Pelodiscus sinensis: one gene and its partners. The protein of the gene in region 2 purifies or fractionates together with the protein of the main gene of each other region. This does not show direct contact. Links are inferred from orthologs where the notes say so. Each region holds a gene or a part of one and is shown on either strand. Other genes may lie near its edges. The genes, in order: ARL8B, RAB7A, VDAC2 and VDAC1.

The links.
Region 1: the proteins of RAB7A (region 2) and ARL8B purify together in Homo sapiens (affinity purification with mass spectrometry; 4 studies listed by BioGRID and IntAct, with this or other methods). This does not show direct contact. The link is inferred for Pelodiscus sinensis from reciprocal best matches to the Homo sapiens genes RAB7A and ARL8B.
Region 3: the proteins of RAB7A (region 2) and VDAC2 purify together in Homo sapiens (affinity purification with mass spectrometry; 3 studies listed by BioGRID and IntAct, with this or other methods). This does not show direct contact. The link is inferred for Pelodiscus sinensis from reciprocal best matches to the Homo sapiens genes RAB7A and VDAC2.
Region 4: the proteins of RAB7A (region 2) and VDAC1 purify together in Homo sapiens (affinity purification with mass spectrometry; 3 studies listed by BioGRID and IntAct, with this or other methods). This does not show direct contact. The link is inferred for Pelodiscus sinensis from reciprocal best matches to the Homo sapiens genes RAB7A and VDAC1.

The regions. Positions count from the first base shown.
Region 1 is NC_134721.1:16,316,124-16,324,019, reverse strand, and holds the start of ARL8B (ADP-ribosylation factor-like protein 8B), read right to left. Parts: upstream 3,289-7,896; 5' UTR 3,159-3,288; coding exon 3,036-3,158; intron 1-3,035. UniProt on the Homo sapiens protein: Small GTPase which cycles between active GTP-bound and inactive GDP-bound states.
Region 2 is NC_134721.1:25,508,045-25,516,537, reverse strand, and holds the start of RAB7A (ras-related protein Rab-7a), read right to left. Parts: upstream 3,140-8,493; 5' UTR 2,994-3,139; intron 1-2,993.
Region 3 is NC_134718.1:8,199,664-8,207,666, reverse strand, and holds the start of VDAC2 (non-selective voltage-gated ion channel VDAC2), read right to left. Parts: upstream 3,320-8,003; 5' UTR 3,305-3,319; coding exon 3,193-3,304; intron 1,815-3,192; exon of another isoform or gene 1,033-1,814; intron 1-1,032. UniProt on the Homo sapiens protein: Non-selective voltage-gated ion channel that mediates the transport of anions and cations through the mitochondrion outer membrane and plasma membrane.
Region 4 is NC_134727.1:27,818,261-27,826,113, forward strand, and holds the start of VDAC1 (non-selective voltage-gated ion channel VDAC1), read right to left. Parts: upstream 3,154-7,853; 5' UTR 3,027-3,153; exon of another isoform or gene 2,955-3,026; intron 2,168-2,954; exon of another isoform or gene 2,067-2,167; intron 1-2,066. UniProt on the Homo sapiens protein: Non-selective voltage-gated ion channel that mediates the transport of anions and cations through the mitochondrion outer membrane and plasma membrane.

The DNA of each region.
Region 1 (7,896 bases), about 9.2 Mb from region 2:
CCCCACAAACTAAGGCTATGTCTACACTGGCACGATCTTGCGCCAGAGAAATGCAAATGAGGCTAGCATGGAATATCGCTGAGCCTCATTTGCCTATCTAATAAGTCACCTTCTTGCCACTACGCTGATTATTTTCGGGAATAATGGCATTGCGCAAGAGGGTTTTTCTTGCACAAGAAGAGGCAGTGTAGACAGCTCCTTCTGGCGCAAGAGCCTCTTCCGCAAAAGTGGCAGCTCATTAGATATGCAAATGAGGCTGTGATATTCCACACTTAGCCTCATTTGCATATATCTGGCACAAGACTGCGCCAGTGTAAACATAGCTTAACAGTTTTGTTGACTAAGCATATCTGAAGGACTAGACAATGTCTGAATTTAAAGAAGAAATGTTATCCAATGAGTGGAGTGTCCTAGTTATACAGTACAGTAAAACTCCAACTGTCCATCATCCAGTGGTCCGGCACTCCTGATAGTCCAGCACCAACTGGAACCTGGAAGTGCTCCAGCCAGCCCGACAATGGAGCTGCTCTGCCCTGGCTTCCCCAAGTTTGCCACTGGTCAGTTTCAACAGCAGTGGACTTGGGGAAGCCAGGGGCAGAGCAGTTGGGGTGCTGCTGCCAGGTTGGTCCCACAGCACCACCCTCTCCCATGCTGTGCAGTTCCCTGCCAACTCCCCCTCCCCCCCCAGGCCCCTCATAGCCCCCCTTCCAGTACTCCAGCATATTTGATAATCCAGCACCCCCTGGATCCTAAAGGGGGCAGATTATCAGACGTTTGCTGTATTAGCATGACACCAAGTTAGAGTGACATTGTTGATTAGGCAATGTAACTGTCAGAACTGTTACATTTACTGAGTAAGACCTAAATTCTTCAATGACATTTACTGAGTAAGACCTAAATTCTTCAATGACATTTGCAAGTTGAAAAGTTTCTTTTCCAACATGTTAGCCAAACAAAACTCTGATCAGGGTGGCATGCACAGAGTAAAACTTACACATTGATCTGAGCAAAGCTTATCCTCCATAAACAAACACCACCTCTGAAATGTACCGACACTGTCAGGGGACCTTGAATTGTTGTATTAAGCCTTGCATGCTTTCAGGGACAGTCTGGTCTACTGGACCCGATGAATATGCTATCTGAAAGTTCTAATACATTTGAAAAACAGCCACAATACTGAATTAATGAAAATGCTTTTGGCAGAAGAGTGATGAAAGTAGTTGAAGTCATAAGGACTATCCAGGCTTAACTGAACATACATAGCATAAAATCTGTGTGGCTGTACAAGAAGTCAGACAGTTTCCATTCTTCTGCAGCCAAAAAGTTGGTTTGTGTCACCCAAGATAAGAAGCTTATCTAACTTGCACTCAAGAACTCAGTGCATCAAGTGATTACCAAGTCCACACCAGACTAGCTTCCTACCTCAGTTTCTCTGTATATGACTTTGACTATCAGTTATGTCCGTTACTGCATGTGAAGGAAAACCAACTAAGTCACATGCATCCTTTCCCAACTGTAGTATCGAATGCCAATAGCAGAGCCAGAGGAAATTTACGCAATTTAGTGGTCCAAGCAAGTCATTCAATTTGTCTCCTGCTCAGCAACAGTCACAATCAACCTCACACAAGAGGCATATTTATAACTGGTTTAGTAAATCCATCAGACACAATAGTGAACCGCAGTTATTTCCTTCAACTATTCAGAAAGCGAATGCCCTCTAGAACATTCTAACAGGAAAAGGTATAGATGGATTAATTCAGAGTATTTTCAGCAGCTGAGAATAAGCAACAGAGTGCAGAAACAAGAGAAGAGTGCAGAGTCAGGAGCAGGACTTTTATGACAAGAGAAAGCAGTTAAGCAGATTATTGGCAGCCCATCAGAAATAAAATGGAAGAAAGTGGTTGAAGACATTCTTCACATCATGTGGTCATTAATATAGTTTGCCCACCCACCATGACACAGAAAGGTGTTCTAAAACCATGTCATCAAGCTAGCCTGAGTCAGTGATTGGCCTGTGTACACATCAAGCAAACTATGCTACATTTGTTAGTACAGGAAGCACTGTTCTGTAGCTATAGTTCTAATGAGGACATCTCAACCCCAATAGCCTTTGTTTTACAGAAAATGCATGAAAGGATCATCAGCAATAAAGAGACCATTATTACAGTCAGTATTTTATCCCACAAAGCTCAAAACACAGAATGTCCATTTTACACTACTGTACTTCTGTATCCCATTTGCCTGGATGCTATCTAGGACACTGTGCCAGGAACTATAAAATGCACCAAGACCTGTATGTAACAGATTTGCGAGAACTGTAGACTATGGCTAATTGCAAACCCAATTTAAGCTCACACAGGTGGATACCAAATCTCATTCAGAGATCACCACCACCATCTCATTACTAAATAATAACATTGTAGCAAGGCCTGTAGGAGCAGCTGGTAGGAAGCACTGCTCTCCCTACCAGATAGACTAAAGATTTCCATTGGCCTCACTGCAGCATCAAGGCTGGTCATCTACTGCAACCGCCTGTTTCGAGGGTTGGCTCTTCAGACATACCCTAATGTCACTCAAAGATGGCCCCACTCCCAAAATCCACCCTTCCCACATGCAAACCAAAGCATCATCCGCCAACCACGGGTGGAAACCTGCACGGCACTCCACCCTGCCTTAAGGCTGGCAGAGAAGAGCAGCTGGCTCAGCGTCCCCACACACCCTCCAATGCCAGGCCTGTTTAGCACCCAAACAACGCATTGGGGGACAAACCTAGGGACCCGGACACCCTCTTGCATTCTCCCCCCCCCATTACCCACACGGGACAGAGAGGCCCCCAGAGCCCAGCGGGAGCCAGACAGACAGGCCCTGGATCACCCCACCCCGAGACCCCGAAAGACCCCCGGGGCCAGCCGCAGGGCAGGGTCATGCTCCCCCCTCTCCCCAGCACGCGCCCCCAACACCGAGACCCCCCCCCCATGGGAGACGGGCCTAGGGACCCGCCTGACTCCCCCTCCCCGGGCAGCCCCGCCGCTCACCGCGATGACGTTGACGAAGGTGGTCTTGCCCGAGTACTGCAGCCCCACCAGGGTGAGCTCCATCTCCTCCTTCCAGAAGAGCGAGCGGAACCAGTCCAGCAGCCGGGACAGCAGCGCCAGCATGGCGGCGGCGAGCCGGGCCGGGACCCTCCGGCACGAGCGCTGGTGGCGGGCTCTGGCGGCGCGAGCTGGCGGGCTGCGGCTCCAGCCAAGGCCAACGCTGCCCTGCTCGCCGCGCCGCGGTCATATGACGGCTCGGCTGCCGACCCACACGCCGGCCTGCCGGAGCAAGAGCGGCCCCCGGCTGGCAGCCGCCGCCAGCGCGGCCTACGGCGCCCCCTGCCGGCTGGATGTCCGCTCTGCGCCCGGGGAGGACTCGCTCTGGCGCACCGGCCCGCTGGGCTTGGGCAGGGCAGAGGGAGCGGGGAGTGCTGGAGCGGGGGCGAGAGCGGTGACAGCGGCTGGGGCAGGGCAGGGGATAGGCAGGGCCCCCATAGGCGGGGGGCACTTTAAACGGGCGTGGGGCGCGCTCAGGCTGCAAATGGTGGGATTTGGGGGCGGGGCTGCTGTGAGCCAAAAAAAAAATCTGCTTGGGGACTGAGGGAGGGAAAAGCACAGAGCCTGGGCAGGGACAGGGGATTGTCCCGAGCCAAGAGGCAAGGTGAGCGGAATAGAGGCTGGAGCAAGGATAAGGGATAGGGCCGGACTGGGGCACGAATAGGAACTAGGACAAGTCAGTGAATGATGAACGCTTGGCTGTGCCCTTTTTGCGCCCCACTGCCACCCTCTACCGTCAGCCTGCTATATATCCCCCCCAAGCACCCACAGGGCTCCACCTCCAATACCTGCACAGTTCCCATCAAACCCATACTAGGGAGTAGAAGGGTTCGATTTTTATCCATCCTACTGTGTCAGTTTCACTGTGGCTGTGTCTAGACTGGACAGTTTTTCTAGAAAATCAGCCGCTTTTCCGGAAAAACTTGCCAGTTGTCTACACTGGCCGCTTGAATTTCTGCAAAAGCACTGACTTCCTACTGTAAGAAATCAGTGCTTTTTGCAGAAATACTATGCTGCTCCCGTTCGGGCAAAAGTCCCTTTTGTGCAAAACTTTTGCGCAAAAGGGCCAGTGTAGACAGCTGAGATTTGTTTTCCGCAAAAAAGCCCCGATTGCCATTTTCGCGATCAGGGCTTTTTTTCGGAAAAGCGCATCTAGATTGGCCACAGACGCTTTTCCGCAAAAAGTGCTTTGGCGGACAAGCGTCCGTGCCAATCTAGACGCTCTGTTCCGAAAATGCTTTTAACAGAAAACTTTTCAGTTAAAAGCATTTCGGAAAATCATGCCAGTCTAGACGTAGCCTCTATATACAACAAGTATGTGGATAATGGTGGAAATTTACAGATAGGCAAGGTAGGAAAAATGCTGCTTGAGAATTTGGTTTAGGGGTATTAGGTGACACTTGCCACTATCATTTCCCACAACTGTAAAAATGTAAACCAATAAAAAAAATTAAAAAAGCTTAAAAATAATCATTGATATTATCTGTCAAAATTCTAAAAAAATATTAACACTGAATTCTGGCCAGACCATTCCAGATGTTCAAAACCTTTGAGTCAGCTCCCTCTTCCCCATAATTGCCTTAAAAATCTTGAGATTTTGAAAAAGAAAATATACCTAGTAGGTTATTTTTATTTTCCTTCTGCTTTCTGCACCTTCAGGGGGCACTTGGGTCACTTTTTACAGCTTTTCTCCAATATCATTAGGGTTGGAATTTTTTCCCCAAAAAAAGGAAAGCTAATATTTCCACACAGGAGCCAGGAATTTTAAACATAAAGTATCACAAGATTTATGATAAATCATCAGAGTTGGCAACACTGCTATGCCTCACTGCTGCCCACCCAGTCTCCCATATTGCTTCCTCACCCCACCATCCTCGAAATCCCCAATAATTCCACTGCTTCTGATTCCCCATCACCTTCCAATATCCTGCACTGCTTCTGTCTGCTATCTGTCCACTGCTACCCTGACACCTTCACTGCTAACCCCCTGGTCCTGTGATGTCCCCTCTTAAACCTGCTGCACAATTAGCCCTGTGCCACCCCAATACCCCCACTACCCCACAACCTCCCCATTCTCCACTGCTCCCCACCCCACTACTCTCTGCTCTCCTACATTGCTCTCACTGCCCTGTTAACAACCACACCCACACACAGTGAAGCCTCCTATGCTACCTCCTATATCTATCCACTTCTCCCCACACACTTCCTCCATCTAACAACCCCACACCTGCTGCAATACTACTGCCATTACCCCTGCTAATTCCACCCTTGGAAAGTGATTGTTTATTACAGCGCTTCCCAAATTATGGGCTGCGGCCTGGAACTGGGCCGCGGGAAAAAAATCCCAGACCTCAGCGTGGCTGCCGGGAAGGGAGCGGGGCAGGGCAGGCTGGGAGGAGGTTTGTGGCGGGGTGGGAAACCAGCCACCGGGAAGCAGGGTTGAGGGCAGCGGGGTTGTCTGGTGGAGACTGGGGGGGAGGGGGGGAGCGGCCGGCCAGCCGGCCGGCTGGCAGAAGCAAGGCTGGACGGGAAGCAGGGGGGCTGGATGGGGGAGATCGAGAGGAGGAGGATGGGAGAACCAGCCTTCGGAAGCGGGGCTGGCCGGGGGGGGAGGTGTTGGACGGGGGAGATCGGGAGGAGAAGCAGGCAGGGGGGAGCAAATCGGCTGGCAGGAAGAGGGACTGACCTGGTCACACAAGTGAGTCCAACCCTCGGGGATTCCATTCTGCCCCACCCCCTATACCCTCCCTCGAGTAGTTGCGAACTGCCTGGCTGGTAAACACACTCACACAGTGTGAGCATATCACCAGCCAGGCAGTTCACAGCTACGGACTGATACACCTAATTAGAAAATACTGGACAAAAATGTCCAGTATTTTCTCAATTTGTTTCCCGGACAGAATTCTCAAATACTGGACTGTCTGGTACAAAACCAGACACCTGGCAACCCTACCCCTCCTTGTACCCTCCCTCCTAACCAGATACCCTACCCTCAATCTGCTCCTGCTCCTGCCTCCTGGAGTGCCCATGTGGTGCCATGTCCCCCAAGCCCTGGCCCAGGCTGGGCAGAGGATGCAGCCAGGTGAAACACTGAAAATTTATTCATTTTTAATTCATTTTTGATATGTGTTTATATTTTTGGGTTGCAAAAAACAGTACTAAAAAAAACGGGTTCCAACTAAAGTAAAAAAGTTTGGGAAACCCTGCTCTAGCCAGCTTTCTGTCCATTTTACAGTCCATTTATCCAATCCATATTCCCTTAGCTTGCTGGCAAGAATATTGTGGGTGACCATATCAAAAGCTTTGCTAAAACTGGCACTGGGGGCTTTGAGAGGACCAGAAACAACTTATTTGAATATTCAACATTGCTTAATGAATATGCAAATATGCAAATGAATGTTACCGGTCCTCCAAAAGCTCATGAATCGATTTACTGGTCCCCATGTCAAAAAGTTTGGGAACCCCTGGTTTATTACATTGAAACTTACCGCTGGGACTCTGTGCTAGTTTGAGAATGAAAAAGTAAAATTGATCAGCCTGATTGCCTGGGCTAAAATGAGTGAACTATATAATGGAAGCAAATAATGTCATTGGGGAAAAGTAGATTAACAATTTAATGTTAGGTTGATTTCAGTGTATAGGTCTGGGCAAGGATCCACATTTCGACTCACAGAATTTTTTAAAAATAAGAAAAAGAACAGGGACTGGAGGCAAAGTGTATGAAGGAGGGTCCTCCAGCTTTGAAGCCTGCTTCCACCACCTCCCATTGATCCAAAATAGTCCATCTGTGCAACTTTGCAGTACAAAGACATATCTATTTATTTACTTCGGTCTTGGAGCAGCAGGGGCTTGAAATGGGCAGAGGTTCTTCTTCACACAGCGCATAGTCAATCTGTGGAACTCCTTGCCGGAAGAGGTTGTGAAGGCTAGGACTATAGCAGGGTTTAAAAGAGAACTAGATAAATTCATGGAGGTTAAGTCCATAAATGGCTATTAGCCAGTATGGGTAAGGAATGGTGTCCCTAGCCTCTGTTTGTCAGAGGGTGGAGATGGATGGCAGGAGAGAGATCATTTGATCATTATCTGTTCAATTCACTCCCTCTGGGACACCTGGCATTGGCCACTGTCAGCAGGCAGGATACTGGGCTGGATAGACATTTGGTCTGACCCAGTATGGCCATTCTTATGTTCTTAGGTTTGTGTGCAGAATTTTATAGTTCCCTGATAGGTCAAGTTCTGTTAGGATCTGTTAGCTGTTAGTTCCATCTGATTTGATTTTTTAAAAATTATGTCAGTTATCTAGAGTGTTAGGTAAGTACTCTTTTGTGCCTTCTTGAATAGACATATGAATCAAGAACATGAAGTCCCACCTCACTCAAGCTTTTTACTCCTTTGTGTTTCATGTTTGAACTCTCTCCAAATCTCAAAGAAAAATGCATCTGAAAGGGCTGTCACCTGTTTTAGTAAATGATATCTTACATGATTTCAATATACAACCATGAACTGACCCAAGGACTATCAAAAGATTTGATAAGCCCATACTTTTTGATTTAAGGTTGTGACAAAATCTCAAATGAAGCTAATCCCTTCTGACATTTGGATTCATTGTATTTCACGGGCTAGCTGAAATGGTGTTTTATATATATATATATATATATATATATATATATATATATATATATATATATATATATATATGTGATTTTACATAAGTTAAGTCACAATCCTGCAGCTGTTTCCACATGGGTGCATCCTGTGGTCTGCCTCCATATGTAATTGTAGGAGTGGCTTTAAGTAATAATAA
Region 2 (8,493 bases):
CAACTGCCTTAACAGTAGTGAAGTGGGCAATCTTATATGCTCCCTATATAATGGGATTTTTATACCACTCCAGGGGTAATATGTTTAATGCCATGCAGTGAAACTATCTACAAATATTCTGCAGTCACTGTTCAGCTCTCCCTAGAAAACTCCCCTCTTCCCCAAAACAGAGGCACAGTCTTATAGTTTCGAATAAGAAAGGACTTCCCCAAAGTCATGTTTTGCCCATAAATTTATTCTGCTGACAGGTAAATCTCAAACAGCATGAAACTCTTATAAGTTCTGCTACTGAAGTTCAGAGTCCAAAACCACTCTTCTCCTTGGACATTTGAGTGCAGTCCAAAAGCAAATAGGCTTAAGCAACAGAAGCCACTTTGACTTACCAAAAAAGAAAGCTATGGAGAAGCTAGTTAGAATTGTATTTCAGAGCAGTCTCAATGTGCCCAATTATATTAGAGTTCAAGTGTTTTAAGCCATGCTTTACAATATCTATTGTCCCGCCTTAAGCATCTTTGTAGATTAGTTCTCTAGAAACAAAAACAGTTATATTGAGTCTGAGAAGCATTTCCTGACCTAGCTGATAATTTAGGAAGGTTTTTAGATACTAGATTCTGCAGCAGATTAGTGGAGAAAACTGTACTGCTGTAGGGCTTCTTGAAAGCAGTTCTGCTTATTTTGGTAATTACAGTTTAACCCAATCTTGTACTTTCTGTACTAGAATATAACAGCACATGTAGAAGAGAAGTTTGAGATTACACTTTGAATGCCTAAGAATTTATTACATTAGGAAATAAGTCATAATGAAGACCCTTTGAATTCTGAACTTGATCCACCAAATCTAGACAAAGTATTATTAGTTTGTGGATAGCAAGTCATGTGTTTAGTCAGCTGCTGAAGTCACAAGGGAAAGACAGAATGAGAGTTTTTCCTGACTGAGGGCATGGCATAGAACCACAGATTTAAAAAACAGTGAACACAGTAGTCTACCTACTTTAAACAAACTTCATTCCAGATTATAAAAGAGTTGCACTTCAATATGGCTGCCTGGAGAATATTAGCCAAGAAACTGTTTTATCAAATACTTCAGTCTGTAACTGAAAGTTTAACAAAAAAGTAGGACTATTGGTTTTTTTTTTATTTATCTAAGGTGCTGCAGATGGTATGAGCTTTGGATATGCCCACAAAAGTGCATAATACCATCTGTTAGTCTCAGGTGCTGCAGGACTTTTTTTATTTTATTAAATGCTAGTGGTCTTAGTGGCAAACAGGCATTCCAAGTTAAAGCCATAACCAGACAAATGAAGTCAGCTAACTCTAGTAGAGCAAGCTGGGTCACGTACTTCATAATCCCCATCTATATTATCAGGTGTAAGATGTTGACTTGCAATTTGCATAGCACAGAAGAGTTGTGTAGTAGTGAGTGGTGTAGTAGTGGACTGCTACTATTTGTTACCCATGTTCCAAATTGTTAGCAACAAAACAGATCTTAGCATTGAACTTCCTGCTTGTCTGGGAGGAATTTGTAAAACCTTGTGTTTATTTACATGTTTGCCCATGCAGTCCTTCATAGGTTTAGCAGCTCTGTTCCACCAGGACAAGTTTTTGAAGAATCATGAAAGACAAAATTAAACTTGGCCTATGACTCAAGTTTATGTCTTACCTCAAGGTTGTAAGAAGTCAGTATAATCAGAACTATTTTAAAATACAGCTAAACCAATACATCACCTCTGCTAGCAGTTAGAAAAATATTGAAATCCCTCCTTAACTTAGCTTTTTAATTAATCAGGATAGCAATGGTTAGCCTTTTTAAAGGCATAAGAGCTGATTACAGCCTACAGCATCTTAGCATCAAATTTAATTCTTCCCACTGACTCAGTCCTTATGCATGCAAAGAAGTTACTTGCGCAATAACTGCCAGTCTTTTCAGTTGCCTATGTTATCCTGTTATTAACTGGACTAAGTGCAGTCTGCTAGTAAGTTAATTATATCCACTGATTACACTGAATAATATTTCAAATTATAGTAGTTTTTTCTGAAAAAAAAAAAAACTTAGGGATATTCCTAGCCTCTAGCTGTTCTCCCCCCCCCCCCCACCCACCCCCATTCTTCAGAGTTTGCATAAACCCAAGCACAAAAGGTGGGTGACAAATCTCCATCAGAAACTTTATCATTTCTACTTGAGCTCTTACTGATTTTCATATCAGGTCAATGCACCTGACTACAGGCAACTAGAGAGGCTGAAGGAATGGCCTCTTCCTTAGAAGAAAACATCCACATCGACCAGGAAAGCTTTATATTCAAAACATCAGCTTTTACTAGCTACTCTGAAGCATTATGAAAGCATCATTGTTACATATAGATGAGGGCAGGAGGAAAGAAAAATCTTAAACCCATCCCAATCCTTACACACAATGCCTCCCTAACTCAGTGAGCTCTCGATGCAAATCCCACTAACAAGGAAGAGCCCCATTCTCTGGCACAGGATAAGACACAAAGGAACAATTTTCCGGGTCCATCAACGCCTCCTCCCCACCCCATTTAGTCCCCGCAACTGGAAAGAAAAGGCCCCTCCTCACAGAGCCGCTCCCCCTCCTACTCCAACAAGGGAGGAGCCCCGCTGCCACCTCCTCCTAGAGCCCCTCCTCTCGCTTTAGTCCCAGACACCGGGATCTACTACCTCCCCCTCCTCAGGGGGACTAGGGTGGAGCCGGCTGCCTTTTCCTCCCTCCCCCAGCCTCAGGGCACTTGCGAGAGCAGCTGCCGCCCGCCGGCCCCGGCGAGCAGCCTCCTTCGCAGCGCCGGGCCTACGTTCTCCGCCCCCACCAAGCAGCTGCCCACCACGCAGACCCCGCCAAGCGCCCGCTACCTCCGCCAAGCCACAGACCCTTCCCCCCCTTTCGCCCCCGCCCAAGTCCCGAGCCGCCAGGGGAGCAGCAGGCCACAACCCAGCCCAGGGAAGGAGAGAGCCCCACATCGCCAAGCCGGCCACTCACCACGCTCAGCAGCCCCGCGACACGAGCTCCAAGCCTCGCTACCTCCACTGCTGCCTTCGACTCCGCTTTAATGGGGCCAAACAGCCTCCCTGCTTTCACTTCCGCCTATCCCGCGCCAGCTTCCGGTCACGGGACCATTCGGTGCTGTAACGTCAGCACGCACAGGGTAGGCGGGGGGGAGTGCAGTTGCCGCGTCACACGTCCAAGCACGCCCGCCTTGGCGTCATCTAGGTGGCCATCTTGGATGCCAGGCTGCGTGCTGTGGCGCCTCCGAGCATTCTGAGAAAGATTCTACCGGGCCACTCTGGTTTGTTTACTTTGCAGCCACAGAGCCTCATGGCTCCCACTGGCTGCGGTTCGCCGTCTGCAGCCCAGGGTAGCCACGGGACACAGTGTGACCTGTGCCTATGTATTAATGAAGTTCTTTACAAACATATTAAAAAAGTAAAATCCTATCGAGCAATGTTAACAGAAATTGAATTTTCAGATCAGGAAAAGAAGGGGAATGGTTTATGATTAGGACTAGAAGTAAACAAACCTGGATTCTTTCCCCATCTCTGATACAGATTTTCTGTGGACTTTGGGCAAGGTACTTGCCTGCTCAGTACCGTAACTCATTTTCTCTGTATGTCACTTGGGGATAATGCCAGTTTCAGTGTGGTTTCATAACGTTTAATTCCTTAAGGTCTGTAAAGGATTTGGAGAGTTATAGATAGAAGTTACTATTAAAAGTGCTATAATCTATTAGAATCTGATATATATATATATTATATTCCTATCTGGAATATTCTTCATTGCAGATAATATATTACACAATATTAAAGTTATACTACATTAGAGAGAACCAAACAACAAAGGTGTATGTGAGAATGGGATGTCGCAGGCTGATCTAGCTCACTGCAGGTAATACAAATCTTAATGTTGATTGCAACAGGAGCTGGATCAGCTTTTTAGAGCAGAGGATAGGGAATCCTCTTGAGATTGGGCAAATCTTTACTTTCTCTGTGCCTCCATTTCCCCATCTGTTGGATGGTGTTAATTATACTGATCAATCTCACAGGGGTTGTGTTGTTTATTAATGGCTATAAAGTACTTTGAGATTATGAGATGGAAATTTCTACATAAGGTGTTGATTATGATGCTTCATTGAACAAAAGAAGAAAGACATAAGAAAAACCTCAAAGACAGAACTCATGAAAGTGCATCACTGCTTTGACTGTGATGCTCATGCCATCCTCACTGTGCAGCCTAATTACCAGAAGTGTATTGGCTACAGCATCAAACTGGGGCACAACATTCAACTTCTCCACCTGTGTGTTTCCTGGAAAAAAGACCATAAAATGCTAGGTGGACAAAGAACAGACACTACCAACAGCCATAAAGTGCTGCTCTGTCCACTCCTAAATGTTCCTTTTTTTCCTGTACAATATTCAAAGGAGGCAGTTTCTGTGTTTGAAAATTCTGCCTTCTTCTGATCACAGAGATTCTGGCAAAAGTGCAACACATTTATTTTAAATGGGATCTTTTTCTTATGCATCACATTAGTGAAAACCTAACACAAGCCTGGGATTTCTTCCTTTGCACAACCAGCATCTGTGCCATGCAATTCTTTTTTATTGTGACTTGCTAATTCCTGCAGGCAACGCTTTCTGTTATCAGACTAATACGGACCGATCATGGTCCTATTGAAGTGAATGAGAATTTTGTCATTGAGCAGGATATACAGCTTATATGTAAGGGCCACAGCTTGTTGAAAATACCATTGTTAAACCCTAAGACAGAAAAATAAAAAATATGTAACTATCATGTCAGATGCAGATATGGACTGAAGCCTCATGATTCTTCTATCTGCATCATAGTGACATACCTGTCAACAAAAATGAAAACAAGGATAGGCTAAAAGAAAAAAATGTAATGCAGTGAAAATCCTGATAAGATGTGAGGCCAGCAAAATAGTTTTCATAACCTGTTAAGAAGTCAGTGTTTCCTGACAGACGAGTCTGGTTAAGAATACACAAAATCTAATCTGAACAACTGGATCATTATGAAACCAAATATCAGTTATTTACAGGGAAATATATTACTGTGGAAATCAATGGTCTCGTATGTGTCAGTGGATTTGTGACCCTTTTCACAATTTACTGACTTCTGGCTGTCAGTTTCACCAAGTTAATATACATCAACACACTTCATGCGTTCATCCCTTCACAATTAGAAAAAATAATTTCCCTCACATTTGTCTTTTTTTCCTCGTGTGACAAACAATCAAACCTGCTTACTCCAACTAAATACAATGGTATGTGAGTCCCCTTATATTGTTCCTTCTCTGACTTGTTTCAACATGGCCCTGCTTTTTTCCTGCTACAGGTTGAACTGCTCTAGTTTGGTATTCCCAGTCCAGCAACATCTGAGGTCCGTCATTATTTTAGTTAGCTGGATGTCCACCTATGGGTGTGGCCAAGTTTCCCATGGTCCCATAAAGTTTGTTTATAGCCACCAGTCCTGGCTCTCAGTGTTCTGTGCTGTTATTTACCTCTAATTTACCCTTAAATGTCTTCCAAGTGCTCGGTAAGCAGTGGAAGTGTTGGTAATGCTGTTAGACAATATTGACCTCCCATTGTCTGGCAAATTCTCTGGATCGGCACCGAACAGGTCCCAAGCGTGCCGGACTAGACAGTTCATTCCCTCAATTGTATCAATGCAAATAAGAGTAAATGTATCAATACAATTTTTGTAAACCAGAAAGTGTAGACAATGTGTTGTTTCTTGGATGAATGCATGTGACGGAATGCACCCTGGTATTTACACCCTGCACACTAATCTTTGTACAAAATATGCCTTGAAGGTATCATTTGAAAAGTGATAATTTGCTGGTTAGTAGCATCATGGCAAAATGTATGTAACAGTAATATATGTAAAGTTATGAGCATAAGATGAAATCACAATTGAAGTTATTTATCATACAAGTCTGTGAAGTAAATAAACCTATTTCTCAAAGATGAATGACAAGTTGATGCCTCTAGCCTGGTGTCATCAAAAGTTTATTGGCTGTTACCTATTCAGTGGCCATTCTTTGGCATGGAAAGGTGGGTAAGGCAATAGATAAACAAATCTGAAGCTTAGCAAACAGAGGTGAACAACAACAGCATAACATCTCTTTCCCCACCAGCCTCTATACCGCCTTACTCTCAGCTGAAAATAACTTTATCTAGAGGTCATTCTCAGGAAAATGCATTTCAAGAAGTGACAGAACTATAAAAGTGATGGGCAAATCAACCTGTGTTCTCTCTTTTCAAATACTCAATTATTATTCTGTGATTAAATTGTCTATTAACGTTAAAACAGATCTCTAAGACATTCAGGCAGTGCTAGACAGCATGAAGCTACCGGTTAGAGGATTTCCACAGTCAAGATCTGGCCCTAAACAGGGCATGATGGTTAAGAGTCCAATTCTGGACTTAGTTCTATAACACAGTCTGAATGTCAAAGTTCAGAGGATTACAAAGATGCTGATCTACAGTTATCCCATGTCTGGACACATGCTACATAATGTATCAAATTGATTCTGACTAATTCTGATCATTTTCATTTTTTTCTCCAGAGTACAATAATCCACCCCCCATTGCTCCAGTACATCACCGAACAGCTCCTTGAGAACGTCCTTGGATGTTTGGCCTGACTACACAGAAGGAAGAGATAGACTTGTGGATTGTGAATATTGAAATATTAACCACTGGCTATATAAAATATTTAACATTTCTCAATGACACCTCACTTGCTTTCTTCAAATTCCTCCTTCAGGCTCACTTCTCTTGACAAGCTTCCCAAAGCTTATCTCAATTCCACCACCTCTACTCTTTGGACTGACTTCCTCAAACTAACATTATAACATTTTAACTTACTAAAACAAAAAAAGGAACCAAAAAGATGTGAACACAAGGTCTCTTACTGTTGCAGTTCTGGAGTAGTCTAGTTTTGTCCAGACACAGCCCTTTATTTGTCATCCTTTGATTCATTTTGGCTAATTGAGGCTGTGACCTCATGAGCACTCATCTTAAATATCTTCCATTGTTGCATTACCACTTTTGTAATACCATGGGTGGAAGTTCCTGTACACTGATCACCTGCATTGTCTAAGCCAGCTTGCAGTATGAATACTGAACTACTGGTCAGCACCAGTGTTCCCTGGAAGCTGCCTGCTTGCCTGGCCACTCAGGACAGATTGACACACAGCTGATTAGCAGAGCACCCACAACTGGGTTTTTTGTTTCTACTGGTGGTGCATATTCGTACATGCTTCAGTGCATAGCAAATATTTATTCTGCACATGGATATAAAAAAAATCCACACATGTATGGAAAAGATTGAGGAAACACTGGTCAGCATTAGTGCTTCCATGTGGCTACCATCAATGGATCCATACTGGTGCTACAACAACAGTGGTAGATTTAAGTGAGATGCCTGTGTACACAGGATTTAGGGTCTGGACAAGTGTGGTTTTGAGTACTTACTGCAAGGTGTCCAATGCCTTCAATTCCAACTGACTTCTGTATCAGTGAGAATTCTGAGTACTTTATAGGGGCTGCTTACAACCTGTACATGTCAGCATTTGTCTTCTCGATTTGTCTGTAAAAGTCAGGACCATCTATCCTGCTGTAGGGATACTAAGAATAACAGTATAACATCCTTTCTGAAACCTCAAGTACCAAGCATTCTGGTCTGATGCATGTTACATTTCTCATTGCAGTCTTTATTGCTTGTGTCATATGTTATGTTACACTTATCCTTTATTTATGGAAGGTCTCTGGACTTGTCCACAGGTAATCTGACCACTTGTCATAAGTATATACCATTCTTACAATTACTCACTTTTTTTAATACTAACCCTAAATGTTTCCCTACCAGAATGAATTACTGTCTGGGTGACAGTGACTCTGGATTGTATCTATTCCAAAGGATTAAAAAGCTGGTGCATCAGAAATTCTCAGTAAGGATGTTAAGAAGTGGGTAATTGGCTATTTGTGTAGGTAATTGGCTAATCGATGAGGGGAGGCGCTCTGTTGCGGCTTGCACCAGATCCAGGAGCTATCTCTACCGCATCTCTGCAATTTAAATGCAGTAGGAGCCAGGCACACAGGCAGCCTGGCTACATTTAAACTGCAGAGCCACAGCAGGGCTAGGACTTGGACCAGGCGCAAGCTGGGACCGGGACCACTGTGGCTCTGCATTTTAAATGTAGTAAGAGCTGTACATTTAAAATGCAGAGCCACAGTGGGGGTAGGTCCCAGATCCAGCACGAGCCAGGACTGAGCAGTCCCAGCTTGTGCCAGGTCCTGGACCACTGCGCCTCTGAATTTTAAATGTAGTAAGAGCTGCCTGGCTCTACTACATTCAAAATGCAGAGGTGCAGCAGTGGTAGGTCCCAGACCTGGTGTGAGTTGGGACTGAGCGGCTTTTAAGCCGGCTCCTTCCAACACAGGCTCCTGTCCCCGCCATCCTC
Region 3 (8,003 bases), on a different chromosome or scaffold from region 2:
TCCTTTCCAGTTTACTGCACACCTAAAAAGCCATTGGCTGTGTCTAGACTGGCCAGTTTTTCCGGAAAAATCAGCCGCTTTTCCGGAAAAAACTTGCCAGCTGTCTACACCGGCCGCTTGAATTTCCGCAAAAGCACCGACGCTCTCATTAAGATTGCCAGTGTTCTTGTGGAAATACTATGCTGCTCCCGTTCAGGCAAAAGTCCCTTTTGCGCAAAAGTTTTGAGCAAAAGGGCCAGTGTAAACAGCTCAGATTTGTTTTCCGCAAAAAAGCCCCAATTGCGAAAATGGCGATCGGGGCTTTTTTTGCGGAAAAGCGTGTCTAGATTGGCACGGACGCTTTTCCGCAAAAAGTGCTTTTACGGAAAAGCGGCCATGCCAATCTAGACACTCTGTTCCGAAAATGCTTTTAACGGAAAACTTTTCCGTTAAAAGCATTTCCGGAAAATCATGCCAATCTAGACGCAGCCAGTGTGTTTTATGGTGCTTTCCTAAATTCTGCCTCTGGTAGCAACATAAGAGGTACCACTAGGCAGCTAAAACTTACATGTGCCTCAAGGATTGTACTTGTATCCCTCATTGCCACCCTTTCATGTCCACTGCCCCGGTGCACAAGTTCTCCTCACCACAGCTGCCAAAGCCTTTTTGTGCACTGCACACCTCCCTAACTCCCCACTGAAACCATCCCGGGCTGCCCTCCTTCCCTGCTACAGTGGTCCTGGTCCCTGGGGTGATCCTTTTCTAAGAATGGAAAGCAAGGCTAGACTGAGTGTCACATGACTGGTTTGCACCAGTCTCTGTAATCATGCCTTATGACAAATCCCACCACAGAAACTGCTTAAGCGACGAGGAGTCCTGTGGCACCTTATAGACTAACTGAAGTGTAGGAGCATAAGCTTTCGTGGGCAAAGACCCACTTCGTCAGATGCATGTGTGGGTCTTTGCCCACGAAAGCTTATGCTCCTACACTTCAGTTAGTCTATAAGGTGCCACAGGACTCCTCGTCGCTTTTGCAGATTCAGACTAACACGGCTACCCCTCTGATACTAGAAACTGCTTAGTCACCAATACAATATTTTCGCTCGGCCAAGGAACTGTGTATGGCACAGCTTGTTCTAAGGTTTTTAGTCCCCTCTAATAGTATTGCCTCTTTCATTTAAAATTAGGTTCCACAAGAGAGTATAATCAATACACTATATGATAATATAATTTATCAGAATATAGGGCAGTAAAGGTGGATTGTGGAAAACAGAGCAGCTGTTGAGCCAGCAGGTCCAGCATATTTTTGTTTTTATAAATGATATGCAGAGGTGAACTGAATAGTTTTCAGGTCCAGCATAAATACATACATTCTGGAGGACCTAACAAGCTAATACATTTAAATGAAGATGATGAGTACTGGACATGAGAAAACGTATTAGTGTGTTAATACCAAATGCACAGGAGAAAGGAATGAATGGCAACTGGGGAGACAGGAAGAGGGATAGGAGGAGGAAATTAGTGGATTGGAACATTCACTAGAAAAGAGATGTCTTGTCGAATACAAAATGAACTTATACAATTTATGCCACACTGCATTATTTAAAGCCACAAGTCCACTACTTAAACCAAAAAATAGTTAAGAACAAATCTCTGTTCCATATACCAGCAACCATGCTTCTTTTTTTAAAAAAAATTGATTGGTTTTATTTTTAGAAATCAGAGAATGTAAGAAACAACCGTCCCATCCTGCAGAAACAGTGATGAATCAACATAAAGACCAAAGCTGAAGCAAGACTGCACCCTTCCGGTTTTGTGTCAGGATTTTGTTAACGGTATAAAAACCCATGCATCCATCCCTCAGTTTCTCTCTAGCTACAGATGCATCCTTTAAGTTTTCAGAATATTGGGGCAGGAGGGTTACTGTGGAACTCAGTATATTTGGAAAGCAAAGGTTACTGTGATAGGCAACTTCTTTTGGCTTCATAACTCTGTTTTCTCAGAGTCTGAGCCACTGTCAAAACCCCACCCCTATTCTCTTCTCTATATTAGCTTTCCTCCACTATCTGTGCCAGCCAGCCAGTTCCTCCAGCCTACATTCCTTAACCATCACCATTTTGTATGGATCAAAGCTAAAAAAAAAAAAAAAAGGCAAGGACTCTGCAGATACCAGTTATCGAATGTTAGAAACCCAGGACATGAAGAGTTGAGCACAACATATACAGCAGGGGTGGGGAACCTTTTTTGGGTCAGAGACCACTGACCCACACACAAATCAGTCGGGGCCCGCACACAGGTAAGAAGCAAAAAAAAAAAAAAACCCCACCAGACCCTCACTGGTGTGGCCCCTGACTGAGATGGAGAAAGATGCTTCCCCACATTCTCCTGGTACACCAGAGCCTGGGGGGCCCAGCCTAGTAGATTTTGTGTGCTCCAGCCCTGCAATGGGGCTGCAGAGTGGCTGGAGCGCCCATGTGGGCTCCCCAGTGCTGGGGGCAGACCCTGAACCTCGGGATCTGGATCCAGGTAAGCCCAGGGCTGCATCTAGCCGCCAGGCCTTAAGTTCCCCACCTGGGGAGCAAAGAATGCCAAATCCCCTCCCCTAACAATACAGCAACTGCCAGAACTCTGCCAAGGACTTGCCCACACATTGAATTGTCCCCATTTAACTTGCAGTGTGATTTTAAACCAATTTCAAGACATTGGTGCAAACGTTCTTATTCCAGGCTTCTTTCTAGTTAAGCCAGTTAGGAACAGGATTGAAATAAACCAAAAGAAGTCACTCTTAAAACTAAAGCAGAACATCCACACAGGCATTGCACTAGTTGAATGTGCACAAATGCACATGTAGGAAATGGCTATGCTCACAGTCATGCCAATGGTAGGCCTGGAACACTTTGAAAGTCTGCAGTCCTGAGCTGGGGGGGGAAGTCTAGGTGCCCTTCTCTCTAGTCTATAGGATCACTGGAGTAAAGGACACTGAACTCCCTCTGGTTGTACTTGGCTTTATAAAGGGCATCTCTGCAGGTGGTGGCTGCAAGTTCCCAATTATTCACTCATACATAGTCAATCCCAAAGCTCCTTATTCTTTCATAACAAGAAAATAAAAGTTGGGGGGGGGGGGGAGAGAATTCAATTGCAAGAGAGAAAATTAAGGATCTAAGGGAAGGGGATAGCAGCCAACCTAGGGCGCATGATTAAACTTGTACTTACTCGCACATTTGTGTTTTTCTTTGCTGGCTGAATGCTTTCTCTTCTTTTTTCTCTTTGGTGGGATTTCCATCTCCCTGGAGGTTTCCCCTTGTGCCTCAAGGAACGAGTCCATAAGCAAACACTGCTGCTATGCTTTAACTTCCTGCTATACACTCTGTTTTACTAAGGCTCAAGGGTGGCTAAATGAATGGGACTTTAGCCCTTATAGGAGGAGCTATTTTAGAGCCTTTTAGGGGAGGGGTCCTTTGAGTTTTCTGCTTTAATAGGGCATAAGAGGTTCTGTTAAAAACACAAGCTAAGAACATTCAACTTACTAAATGTCCTTGCCAATCTAACGCTCATAGGAAAGCTGGTTCAGAAAAAGAGCCCCGTGTCCCTAATTCATTGAAATGGGAGTAATGACATCTGAGAGATGTAAACAAATGTGCAGAACAGTTTGCACCTGAAATAGTAGTTAGTAAAAGTGTTAACCTCTGTTGTGCTCGAGTTTTGCTGGGTCTCATTTCTGCCTGAGTTCTATACAGCACTAATTGTACTCAGTGCTTTGCAACTGTTCACTAATTAAACCTCACATCACCCTCATGAGATACTATTAGTCCCATTTTACAGATAGGGCAAACTGAAGGAGGGAGCTAAAGAAGCTTCCCTCAGGCCACAGTGAGGGATCAGCATGAAAGGATATGACTGAAATTTGGGATTGATTTCCAGGCTTGGGATCACACTTCTCATAATCTGTTACTGTTTCTTTGATTACATTTACTGTTCAGAAGCTATTTATTTTTGGTGCCTGCAGATCCAAGTGCACGTCAGAGAGCAGTCAGATTTATATCAGGTAGACTTGCTAATGGACTGAGGTGCAACTAACATTTAAGACCGAAGTACTGGACAATATCCTCCAGTTAACAAATGAGGAAAAATAGGTGACTTGAGGACACTGTGAGGAGGTGAGACCTCTGTACAGCTATCCAGAGAAGGGCCACAGAAAGAGAGAGAAACTTCTAGGCTACTAAGTCAAGTCCTTCATAAAGTTCCTGGCATGGCAGGAGGTATTTTCTATTTTCTAGGTATGGTCACTGATTATGATGGGTTAAAACATCCTTTTCCCTAGTATATGTCTGTACTAGGTGCTGCTTTAAAGGGATTGCTACTTCAGCAAGTCTTGCCCTACTTCGTGCAATGCTAAGGGCCTGTAAGGGTTCATCTGGAGGTGGCTCTCCTACTTGGAGTAGTATTTGAAAGAATGGCATTCCCTTGACTACGTTCATCCCAGCTACCCACCCAGCTACTACACTTACTCTCTTGCTAGCCAGTGGTTTCCACCGGAAAGGCTACAGGGGAATGCTGGCCCTTACAAACACTGAGGCGTGTAATTTTACTCATGAGTTTTATTGATTTTGATGAGATTACTCTCAGGAGTAGAGTCACACCTGGGCTTAAGTATTTGTAGGATTGAGGCACTGCAATCTAAGGAAGTTGGAAAGGGCTGTCCCCAAATCCCGTGGTATTCTCAGGTGAAAAATGAGGTTTTGCAGGCCATCTCTTGCATGTTTATATGATTCAGTTGCATTGTTGTGAATGTCTTTTACATCAGGGCATGCCTGTACCCATAGCTCGTATTTTTGTCTCCACTGGTGGTGCACGTTCACCAATGCCTCGGTGCATATAAAAAAATATTCTGCATGTGGATAGAAAAAATCCACACATGGATGGAAAAGACTGGAGAAGACATTGCTGTACACACCTCCTAGACTGGAGCCTCTAATGAAACTTGCATGCAGATCTGTGAAGACGGAGGTTGTGGCTCTTTTTATTAATAGGTTTAAGTCCCTGATAGTGAGTGAGGAATACTAGGTATATAAGAAAAATTGAAAGGAAATGTACAATTCATTCCCTATAAATCCATGGTGGAATAGTATAAAGGACTGACCATGAGTTGTACTAGTCAAGCTGTGTGTATCCTGTTTCCTTGGGATTAGTGAAGCTGTCAGGTACTGTGCGTGTCCAATGGGGATACGTCTACACTGCACCTTAGGTCAAAATAACATACGCAATTTGTGTAGCTCAAATTGTGTATCTTACTTCCATCTTATTTTGAAATAGCTTATTTCGTCATTTGACACTATCCACACAGCACCAAATTTTCAAATAACCCGCTGTCCTGAAACATCCCTTACTCCTCGCGGGATGAGGGTTACAGGGACGACGGAATAGTGAGCCCATTACATTTTGAAGTAACGGGCTTGCTGTGAAGACACGGGATAGCTATTTCGGGATGCCTCCGGTATCCTGAAACAGTGCTGCAGTGTAGACAGAGCCTAGCTGTCTGGATGCCACAGGAGGACTGTTAGAGAAGCCCGGGAACCACAGGGCATCAAATATTAAGCCGCAGGCAAAGCAAAGGCAGGCAGAATGCGGAGGTGTTTGTTTGATCCGGGGCTTCTGGGAGCTAACACCCAGTTTAGCACCAGCTAGGCCTCTGTCTTGCTGAGGCAGGAGTAACACAGTGATTGACAGTCCTGGATACGCCAAAGTAACCACTAGGACAATACAATTTATAAGTACAGGAAATCAAGCACCAACTGATAGGAATAAACAATGTTTTATTTATAGAAAGGCAGGACTGAAGGAGAGAGAGAGAGAGAGAAATGGCAGGAAATGGGGACAAAAGCAGGAGAATCAGGGAAAAAATGAGTAATGTCCAACAATGCAGCAATAATTAACCATTTCCTCCCTGTGTGACTCAAAATCCCTCAACTCAGCAATGGCAAGAATGGTCCCCTGAGGGTCCCAAAGGCCATCACTGAAGACGGGAGGTGGAGGGCAACGAGTTGGCTGGTGCTGTTACTCCTGCCTTGCGCGGAGATAAGGTTGGGGCCCAGGGATGACAGGACGGACGCTGACCCAGTGAGTTCCTGGGTTCGATGACTGGAAGCAGTGTTGGAGAAATCAGGCGTGAGAGGATCACGTCCCGGATGAAGAACAAGTTTGTTTTTACTGTTTACAGCCGTCCAAAGCTGCTGGAGGGGTCCTGGCATCAGTTTCCCAACAGAAAAGAGGCTGCTCGCCTCAGTTACAATTGCTGCGGTGCCGCCTGACTCCTCCAAACGGCAGTCAGCCTCCCCAAGAGCCTCTGTTACCCAGGGGCTTTTCCCTGATAGTAACCACTAACTAGCAGCTCCATTTCCCCACCCTGCAGAGTCTCCTGGCTAACTGTTCAAAAATCTTTCATTTTGGGCAGGCAGGGCCACAGCCTCTGGAAGGGGATACCCCCTCACTCTGAGTGGTATGTCCAGTTGGGGCCTTTCCATGTACAAGTGGAAGGACTTTCTGCAAAGTCCGTCCCATACTCCAGGGGTCAAGTGATGTCTGTTACCCCATGGGATTGGGACCGAGCTGTCCCCTGTCTCCCAAGCAAGTCTACATAGCACATGCAGCTTTGTTTCCAATGTCATTTAGTATCATTTCCCAGACCAAAACTTTATTACAGATTAAACAATATTAAAACAGAATGAAAGTGACACTTTAATAGTTGTGAACATATAAACACGATAGTTACCAACACATGGCTCCATCCAGATGGGAGGGCAATTATATGCAAGGCTCCAGAATCGACTTTGACTCTGACCCATATCAGCATGCAGCTTAACGTGAAAACCCCTTTACACAATAATTCCAATTTCCAACACTGGATCAATCCCAGGGCCAAAGTCCCGATGGTGTAAAGAGGGGCTAACCTACTGCCCTCCGTGGAGTTGTCTTCACTTTGGCTGAATTTCGTCCATGGGGCAAAATTCAGTGGTGACCTCAATGGAGGTGTAAGTTACCCATTGATAAAAGAGTCACATTGGTGGGAATCAGCATAATTTACAAATCGAGGGAGCAACAGGGAAGATGGAGCATGACAAGCAATTAACTAAGATGCAATCAGATCCCTTGCCCTGGTTGTTACTGCATTGCGCCAAAGGCATGTAGAGGCTAAGCTCCAGCTCCTCAAAGATAGGTAGGTGTCTAACTGCCTTCCAGGATCTGGGCCTCAGTGTGGGGGGCACGAGGTATGGGGCAGAAAACACAGGAGATCTTAAAATATATTTATCTGATAAGTTTTACCCGGTAAAAAAAACATTTGGAAAACCATTGTCTTTTCTAAATAAAACTATTCATTTCTACATCACTTTGGGGTAATGCAGGTCAGTTAAAATGTTTGAGGGAAGAGTCAAACAGCACCACAACCATGTACAGTTGACAAAACTCATCTGAGGAAGTGGGTCTGGCCCATGAAAGCTCATCATCTAATAAACCATCTTGTTAGTCTTTAAAGTGCTACATAGTCCTGTATTTTGCTTAAGAAAGCCTGAGTTCAAAAGAACAGTAAGGTTACAGACTCAAGCACTGGAAAAATTAGGAAATGCCAGAATGGAGGTTAATTCAGTTCTTTGTGGAGCTGCGTTATGACTGTCTTTATATACTCACTATTTTCCCCACGGGACACTTGTGTCATTCAGTGCACAGCAGGGAACTCCACTCAGGGTTGTGTAGAGAATGAAGCTGTTGGTCTGTAGGAAAATTATGTACCTACATACGTGTGTGTGTGTGAGAGAGAGAGAGAGAGGGAGGAATGCATCTGCCATGCGTGTGTGTGTGTGCGTGAGAGAGGGGGCTATTGGAAAGTCTTCACTCTATACATGTGTATGGATGTGTGCATGTTTCCAAAGTACCTGAACTGCAGCCAGCTACTTGGTGCTGGGCTTAGAAGAGGAGGAACTGCTCATAATTGTGGTTGCTCAACATGTTCCCATTAAAATACCTTTACT
Region 4 (7,853 bases), on a different chromosome or scaffold from region 2:
TACAATTTTAACGTAGACAGTTTTTATTATTGTTTGTAAAATTTAAGATACTTATGAAATACAAAACACGGGATACAATTCTGCCCTCCCCGTTGTGACCATCAAGCTAACGAAGGTTGTGAAAGCTAACCAAGTGCCAAAGATCCTATTATTTAAAAATAAAATCACAAATTAATCTCTAATTGATTGTGCAAATACATGTATAGGAAGCAGTGAGCAATAATGTGACCATTGGAAGCAAGGATGGGAACAGAATTAAGACAGTGATTTATTTGGCCAGTGATATCTGAGTTGCCAGTTATATGACCAATGCAGGACAAGGTAACCAGTTCAGAGGGCACAGTATGCCTGGGCAAAGCACTGAAGAGCAAACCATATGATACTTCTATTATTACATCAGCACGCCCTCAAATTAATGGGTCTGACTAGTTAATATTGAGGGTAACAATTGGTTCCCCAGTGTATTTTTGTTTGCTAGTTCCTATCACACTACAGGAAAATGGCTCCCTGAAGCAGCCAGCTTGTACCTGCAGCGGTTAGGGGCGGGGGTATAGGTTAAATCCATTTTCTCCTTCTATGCTTTTCATCTGTCATTTTCTCAAAATATGTATGTCTGGGCTTTGCAATCTCACTACTTAGATTCTGTTTGACACCGTCCTGCAGGTAAGCCACAAGACTGAATCGGGGATATCTTTTTGGTTTCCATACCCAATTCAGACTTTCTTGCACTACCAGACAAATGCTATAGCAGGATGGGGGGGGGGGAGGGGGGAGAAACAGGAGGAATACAGAAAATGACGGGCCAAACAAATGACTTGTTATGTAAAAATGGAGCAGGTCTTGTACTTTAAAGAGTTTTCACACTGCGAACATCCTTCTTCAAAGAGATTCTGACAATTCCTACCAGGGAATGAACAAATCTTCATTTCTGACCCTCACAAAGCAATCTGGTATGCAACACAGAATCATTATCACTGCTCCTTAGAATTGTATCCTTTGGTATATATGGTTGTGACAATTTTCTTCCACTATTTGATCTGAGGAAGTGGGTCTGGCCCACGAAAGCTCATCACCTAATAAACCATCTTGTTAGTCTTTAAAGTGCTACATAGTCCTGTTTTTTGTTTCAGCTACACCAGACTAACACGGCTACATTTCCATCACTATCCTTAGAAATAACTCTACTCAACAGCATGGATACCTTCCACTCCAATTTTACTTTAACTGATGGCCAGTGACAGAAAATACATGGAGACAGAGCTACTTTACACCAACAAAAATTGTTCTTCCAGATCACACGTGACAAGACAGTGTGGAAAAACTTTCATGGCTGCTGCACAAGGCTGAGCCTGATCATAGGTTAAATGAATTCAGTCCCTAGCATTCTTAAACTGGTCCTTTACCCAGTCTTAACATTCAGTTAACATATAAATAACTTCTTTTTTAAAAAGTACATGTATTTTGGGAGTTGGGTGTGTGTGTTTTATTGAATATCTCATGCTGAATTTCTCTCACTTCTGGAACTCCACTAAACCCTACAATTCATTCCCACTTTTCACAAGAATACGGAAAATAACAGGCTGGAATGAGCCAGTTAAAATAAGGTAAATTACTGGCCAAAGATTCTGTGATGAGTCATGCTATCATATAACAATATAAGCAGACATATAGCCAGTGACCTTTGCTTTATATGAAAATGAAAAATTATAAAAAGCTGCACATATCTCAGGAAGCATGCTTTCAGAAACATGTACACGTCAAGGGTTAAAGGATAATTACCTTAAAGACAATTCTCAGACTGATTAGCAGCTAGTACTACCACTCCATTAAAGACAATGGGATTGTAGGGAGAGTTAATGGCAGAATTTTGTCCACTACATGGAAGTATCCTCATATAACCAAAATTCTGTTACCTGTTATTGCTCACATTTATATCAGTCACATAGCAAGTCATGCTTCAAAGGATCAAAACTCATCTGAAATGAAAGATTATAATCTACACTATTTCAGAAAAAGTTTATATAGTAAATTGTTAGCAAAAATATTCTTATTTTGCCTCCACGTACATTTTAAAACATGCAAAGCTTAGCTGCTATGGAATTTCCTCCTATCATTCCTGAGACCAATTGAAGCAGTTCACATTTCAGGATCCTGCAGTTTTAACAGCCTGATGGACAAACAGCAAATATGTTTTATTACTGTCAGGCCTCAAAAAAAAAAAAAGAAAAAAAAAAGGTATGAAACAGGCATTAAGGGCATTCAGAATGCAAGGGGAGGAGGAGGCCCTGGAAGTATGAGCACCCAAAATCCAACCAAGAACAGGGATGAATGCAGTCCAGATAATGCACAATAGTAAAATCTGGTTGGTGGAGAAGTTACAAATTGTAGGCACAATAATTTACATCCCTCTCCTGGCTATGAGAATAATCTACATATTGCATCAGCTAGTAGAGCCCTGCACTGCGATGTAACCCGTCCTAGGGATTCGCCGGGGGGAGGACAGCAGACTCGCATGTTCTAGTCGGGGCCTGTATGAGAATGCGGTAGGGTAAATCTTACACGCCTTCCCCAGAGAGAAGGTCACCTACAGACTGGCTCTGGGGGGATGACGGGGTGGAGAAGGAAGCGGGAGATGCCATCCTGCAAACCCCTCCCTCTCTGAGCCAGCTGGCGGCGGGCATAAGCCGGGGGCGCTGCCTGAAATAGGGACCACGCTGCCGAGAACATCCGACGCCCTCTCCGCATGGCTGCACCACCCCGAAGGTGACTGGAGGAAGACCGGCTCAGCCCAGCCCTTTGCATCCAGGCGCCCGGCTCAGGCTCCAGGGCGGGGGAAGGGAGGCAGCTGCCAGGGCCTGGCCGCAGCACAGAGCTCCGGGCCTTTGCAAAAGGCACCGCCCGGCCCCATCCCTCCTGCGGGCCGCCCCCTCTCTCCCCGGCCGCCGCCCGGTTACCTCTGCAGAGCGGCCTGCTCGGAGACAGGGAGGAGGCTGCGGAGCGGCGCCGCTGCCGGCCCACGCGCTTACCTTGCTCGCCGGGCTCTGCGGCGGCTGTAGCCGGGCTGAGTGACAGCTGGGTGGGAGGGAGCGGGGCGGACCTAGGAGCCCGGCCTAGGGAGAGACCGCGATAGCAGCCCAGACACTCCCTGACAGACGGGAGACGGGACTCCCGCCCCCTCCGGAGCGGCTGGGGCTGCCTCGCCCCGCAGCTGGGTGGGGAGCTCTTGCAGGGCTTGGCAAGGAAAGGGGGTTCGTCAGATCTCCAGCAGCTGCCCAGGGGTTTAACCCGGTGCTGGGCAGAGCCGCGCTGGGCTCAGCCCTGCCCTGGCAGCGGGTGGGGAGCATGATACCCAGAAGCCTCGTCCACCTTCAACTTCTGGGATGCCGAGTCTAGGGCACGCCGGGGTGCTGCAACCCGCACCTCTGGCTCCAACGGGTTTCCAGCTGCTACAGGAGTTTATATTTGGTTCAGTGGTTTTTAGCCTCCCCCCCCCCCCCACACACACACACTATACAAATTGTTCAGCGCCCCCCTGCTTTTGTCACGTTAGAGCAGGAGTCTGCAACCTTTTCAAACCGAAGAGCCAAACTACATTAAAATTCAGAATAAGTGCTCAACAAAGAGCCCTCTAAAAAGGCCCATTTGAATGACTGAAAATATACAACTTAATTTTATTAATAATTGACATGATGACTAATAATGGCATAAAGGAAACATTGTATTCAAGGACTTTCTTACATGGGACTTCTGCTGCTGCATATTTTTGCACATTTCTTTTGACGTTTACAAGGAGTGGAGAGGATGGATGGTTATTAACATGAACAGTTAAAGGTGAAATAGACAAAACAAATTCTTGACATGAGTAATTACACTTTTTTAAATTTTGAATTAATGTTTCATTTACATTTAAAAAGTTGTGTGTATTTGGGATTTGCAAAAGAGCCATATTTGGTTCCGTACTGAGCCATATTTGGCTCTAGAGCCATAGGTTTCAGACCGGTGCATTAGGAAAACATTTCAGGTCAACTATAAATCTAATAAAACCCATGTCTGGAACTCCTTTATAGTTCTAGTTCTGTGGTGTCCAACCAGTTCTGCTATAGTGAAGTATATAGTGAAGTAGCTACACTCAACTGGCCAAATAGTGGCTAGTGGCTAGCATGTTGGACATGGTTCTAGTGGAAACAGAGCGTGTATTTCTCACTTCTATTTTTAACTGAAGAAATATTCCCTTGCCCTTTCTGCTTCCCAGCTGTGGTATCCAATGTTCCCTCTAATGTTTTCCATCCAGGTGCAGAATAAATTTTGTTATGCAAACCAAGGCATGTGCAGATGTGTACTACCAATAGAAATGCATGCTGCCAGCTGCGGATGCTCTGCTAATCCATTGGGAGGCACCTGTATCTCTCCTGGGTGGCTGCCCAAGCTGTCAGCTTACAGGGAACACTCGGGTACCCTAGTGCTGTGGGTAAGAGAACCAGAAAGTGAAACATATTCTCTTAGGGTATGTCTAGACTACATGGCTGCATCGACGGAGCCATGTAGATGAGTTTACTAGACATAGGAAAATAAAGCAGCGATTTAAATAATCACCACTTAATTTACATGAAAATGGCCGCTGCGCTTTTTGGCGGCACAGCGGGGCAGTCTGGACACGCCACAGTCGACAAGGGAAGCCTTTGTCAACCGCTCCGGTATACCTCATTTCATGAGGCATACCGGAGCGGTCAACAAAGGCTTCCTTTGTCGACTGCAGCGCGTTCAGACTGCCCCACTATGCCGCCAAACAGTTGATCGACACAGCGTGGCGGCCATTTTCATGTAAATGAAGCTGCGATTATTTAAATCGCCGCTTCATTTTCTTATGTCTAGTAAACTCATCTACATGGCTCTGTTGATGTAGCCATGTAGTCTAGACATACCCTTATTGACTATAGCACTGTATGCAGTGTAGAGGAAATATGCTTCCTGTCCCAAGGACTTTACAATCTAAGGCCCTTATCCAGCAAACACAAATATATGTATCTTCATTCCCAGCAGTAGTCCTAATGTCGGTGGAGTTACAGGAATAGAGCTTTTCACTTACTTAAGTGTATGTAGTGTGGTGGTCAGTACTACACTCAACAGTAAGATTGTGCTGGCTCAGACATGGAAGATAAAGTTAAAAGCTGCAAGTTGTATGAACTCTGGCAAGGTGTACGTCAGGGAGACCCATTATGCTGAGGTTGCAGTAATCAAAGACCAGCATCACCAAGGCAAGACATAAGTGTTGGAACTAGGGATGCCAGGAGTGCTACTGCACCCTTTGGCTTGAGGTGGTTTGCATTCTACACTGGGTTTACAATTTGGTTCAGTGGCTCTGAGAATCCCCATTATAAAACCTGCTCCAGCACCCCGGGACAAGATGTAAAGCCAATGCACTGGTTGTCCAATTCCAATCAGTGCAGGATAGCTTAGCAACATTATTCCTTGAAACAATAATAGTCCCCTGAGAAAGGGGTGTTGATTTTGGTACTGTTAATATTTCTGGCCTGAGCCATCTGCAAATATTTGGGACCTTGCATTAGGAGGAGAAACTGGTGATACAGTCAGGTTATTTCTTTGATACAGTCTTGTTAATTTACAACGAATGTACACAAAATCCCATTTCCTTGAACCTGGTAGGAGCAAACAACAGAAGTCAGGTTCCTTGCTCACAATCTCAAGTCTCCTTTTATAGCCGGAACTCTGCCCAAAACACTTCCTCTTGGCTTTCTCTTAGGGCCACACTATCTGTGCTTTGCTTGCTGTTTCCTGCTGCTTTTTCTGCTGCTCTGTGCCTGCAAACTCTGGGGACTCACTTTCACCCCTTTCTTCCTTGTAGATTTCTTCTATACCAGTATTTACTAGATCCACTGATTTTTGTTTTGCAGTTGTGGTTCCATTTTCTAATATTTGCTGTTTTCAGAAACATTTAGTAAACGAACAGGAGTCCATTGCCAGTCCCACCCTCAAGAATCTTAACAGCTACAATCCCTCTGAAAATCTAGATCTTAAAGCATGTCTCAGTCACTCTCCATCCTCCTTTTGCTTAAAAGCTATCCCAGCATGCTGCTGGAGGCAAGACAACTTGCTCACTGCAGACCAAATGCCTAAAATTATATGTCTTTCTTGCACCACATCTTTAAAGGGAATTTCCACAGAGTGAATTAATAGGTTGCTTTTCCTGGCATTTATTACACAATTATTAGTCATAATGAAATCCAGACCAATTATTGCCTCATCCACTGTCCCGCTATTCAGAGTTCTTGCTCTAATTATAGAAGTCTAAGTTTCAGACACAATTTCCCCCATTTTTGGATGGGTGCAAATTCCCGAGTCCCTGTCTTCTCAGGAAACCAAATAGGTGATTTAATTTTGGATCCCCTCTTACCTAAAATGTTGCTAGAAGAAATGAGGTGCAGGAGGAATTTACGGAGCTAAAAATCACTTTGAGAAAGAAATCAAAGGATCACAGACCACAGTGGAAGTCAGTCATCTGGATGAGGAATTGGGCCAGCCAATAACAGGACATTTGCAACAGTTTTCTGCCCCATCTTTAGCCGGTGTATATCTAGATTATATCCTGGTGGGATCTAAGCCCTCTGAATAGGAACTCGTATAAATGGTTTGTGGTAAGATTCAGACTGCCAATTTGAAATTGAACCCAAAGAACTATGAGTTACTCTAAAAAGAAGTAGTCTACCTTGGGATGACTGGAAAGGCATACTTGGACATGTGAACAAGGACATTGCCTCTCATCATTTGATCTTATTGTGTTCAGAGAAACAGGACTTTGTGCACGTTCTTTGTAAATCAATAGCACTGTTAAAGAAATACCTCGCTCTATTTCTCCTCCTACTGGAAACAACCTGCAGGACCCCAAATATTAGCAAAGTGCTCAGGTCAACAGGGTAACTTCTTGACTACATTTACATTGGCATAATCTTGCGCAAATAGGCTGTGTCTACATTGGCACCCTTTTCCGGAAAAGGGATGCTAATGAGACACTTCGGAATTGCAAATGCCGCGGGGGATTTAAATATCCCCCACGGCATTTGCATGAACATGGCTGCTGCTTTTTTCCGGCTCGGGGCTTTTCCGGAGAAAAGCACCAGTCTAGACGGGATCTTTCAGAAAATAAAGCCTTTTCCGGAAGATCCCTTATTCCTGATTTTAAGAGGAATAAGGGATCTTCCGGAAAAGGCTTTATTTTCCGAAAGATCCCGTCTAGACTGGCGCTTTTCTCTGGCAAAGCCCCGAGCTGGAAAAAAGCGGCAGCCATGTTCATGCAAATGCCGCGGGGGATATTTAAATCCCCCGTGGCATTTGCAATTCTGGAGTGTCTCATTAGCATTCCTTTTCCGGAAAAGGGTGCCAATGTAGACACAGCCATACTCTTTAACGCAAGAGTTCTTGCGTTAAAGTATTTACGCAAGAGAGCGTCTACACTGGCATGTGCCTTTGCGCAAGAGATGTACTTTTGCACAAAAGCATCTGTGCCAATGTAGATGCTCTCTTGCGCAAGAAAGCTCTGATGGCCATTTTAGCCATCGGGCTTTCTTGCGCAAGAAATTCATGTTGCTTGTCTACACTGGCTTCTTGCGCAAGAACAGTTGCACAAGAGGGCTTATTCCTGAGTGGGAGCATCATAGTTCTTGCGCAAGAAGCACTGATTTCACACATTAGAACATCAGTGTTCTTGCGCAAGAACTCCCCGCCAGTGTAGACAGGCAGCATGTTTTTGCGCAAAAGCGGTCGCTTTGGCACAAGATCACGCCAATGTAGACACAGCCCTTGTGTACAGTTTGGTCCACTCAGATAGAAAAGTGTTA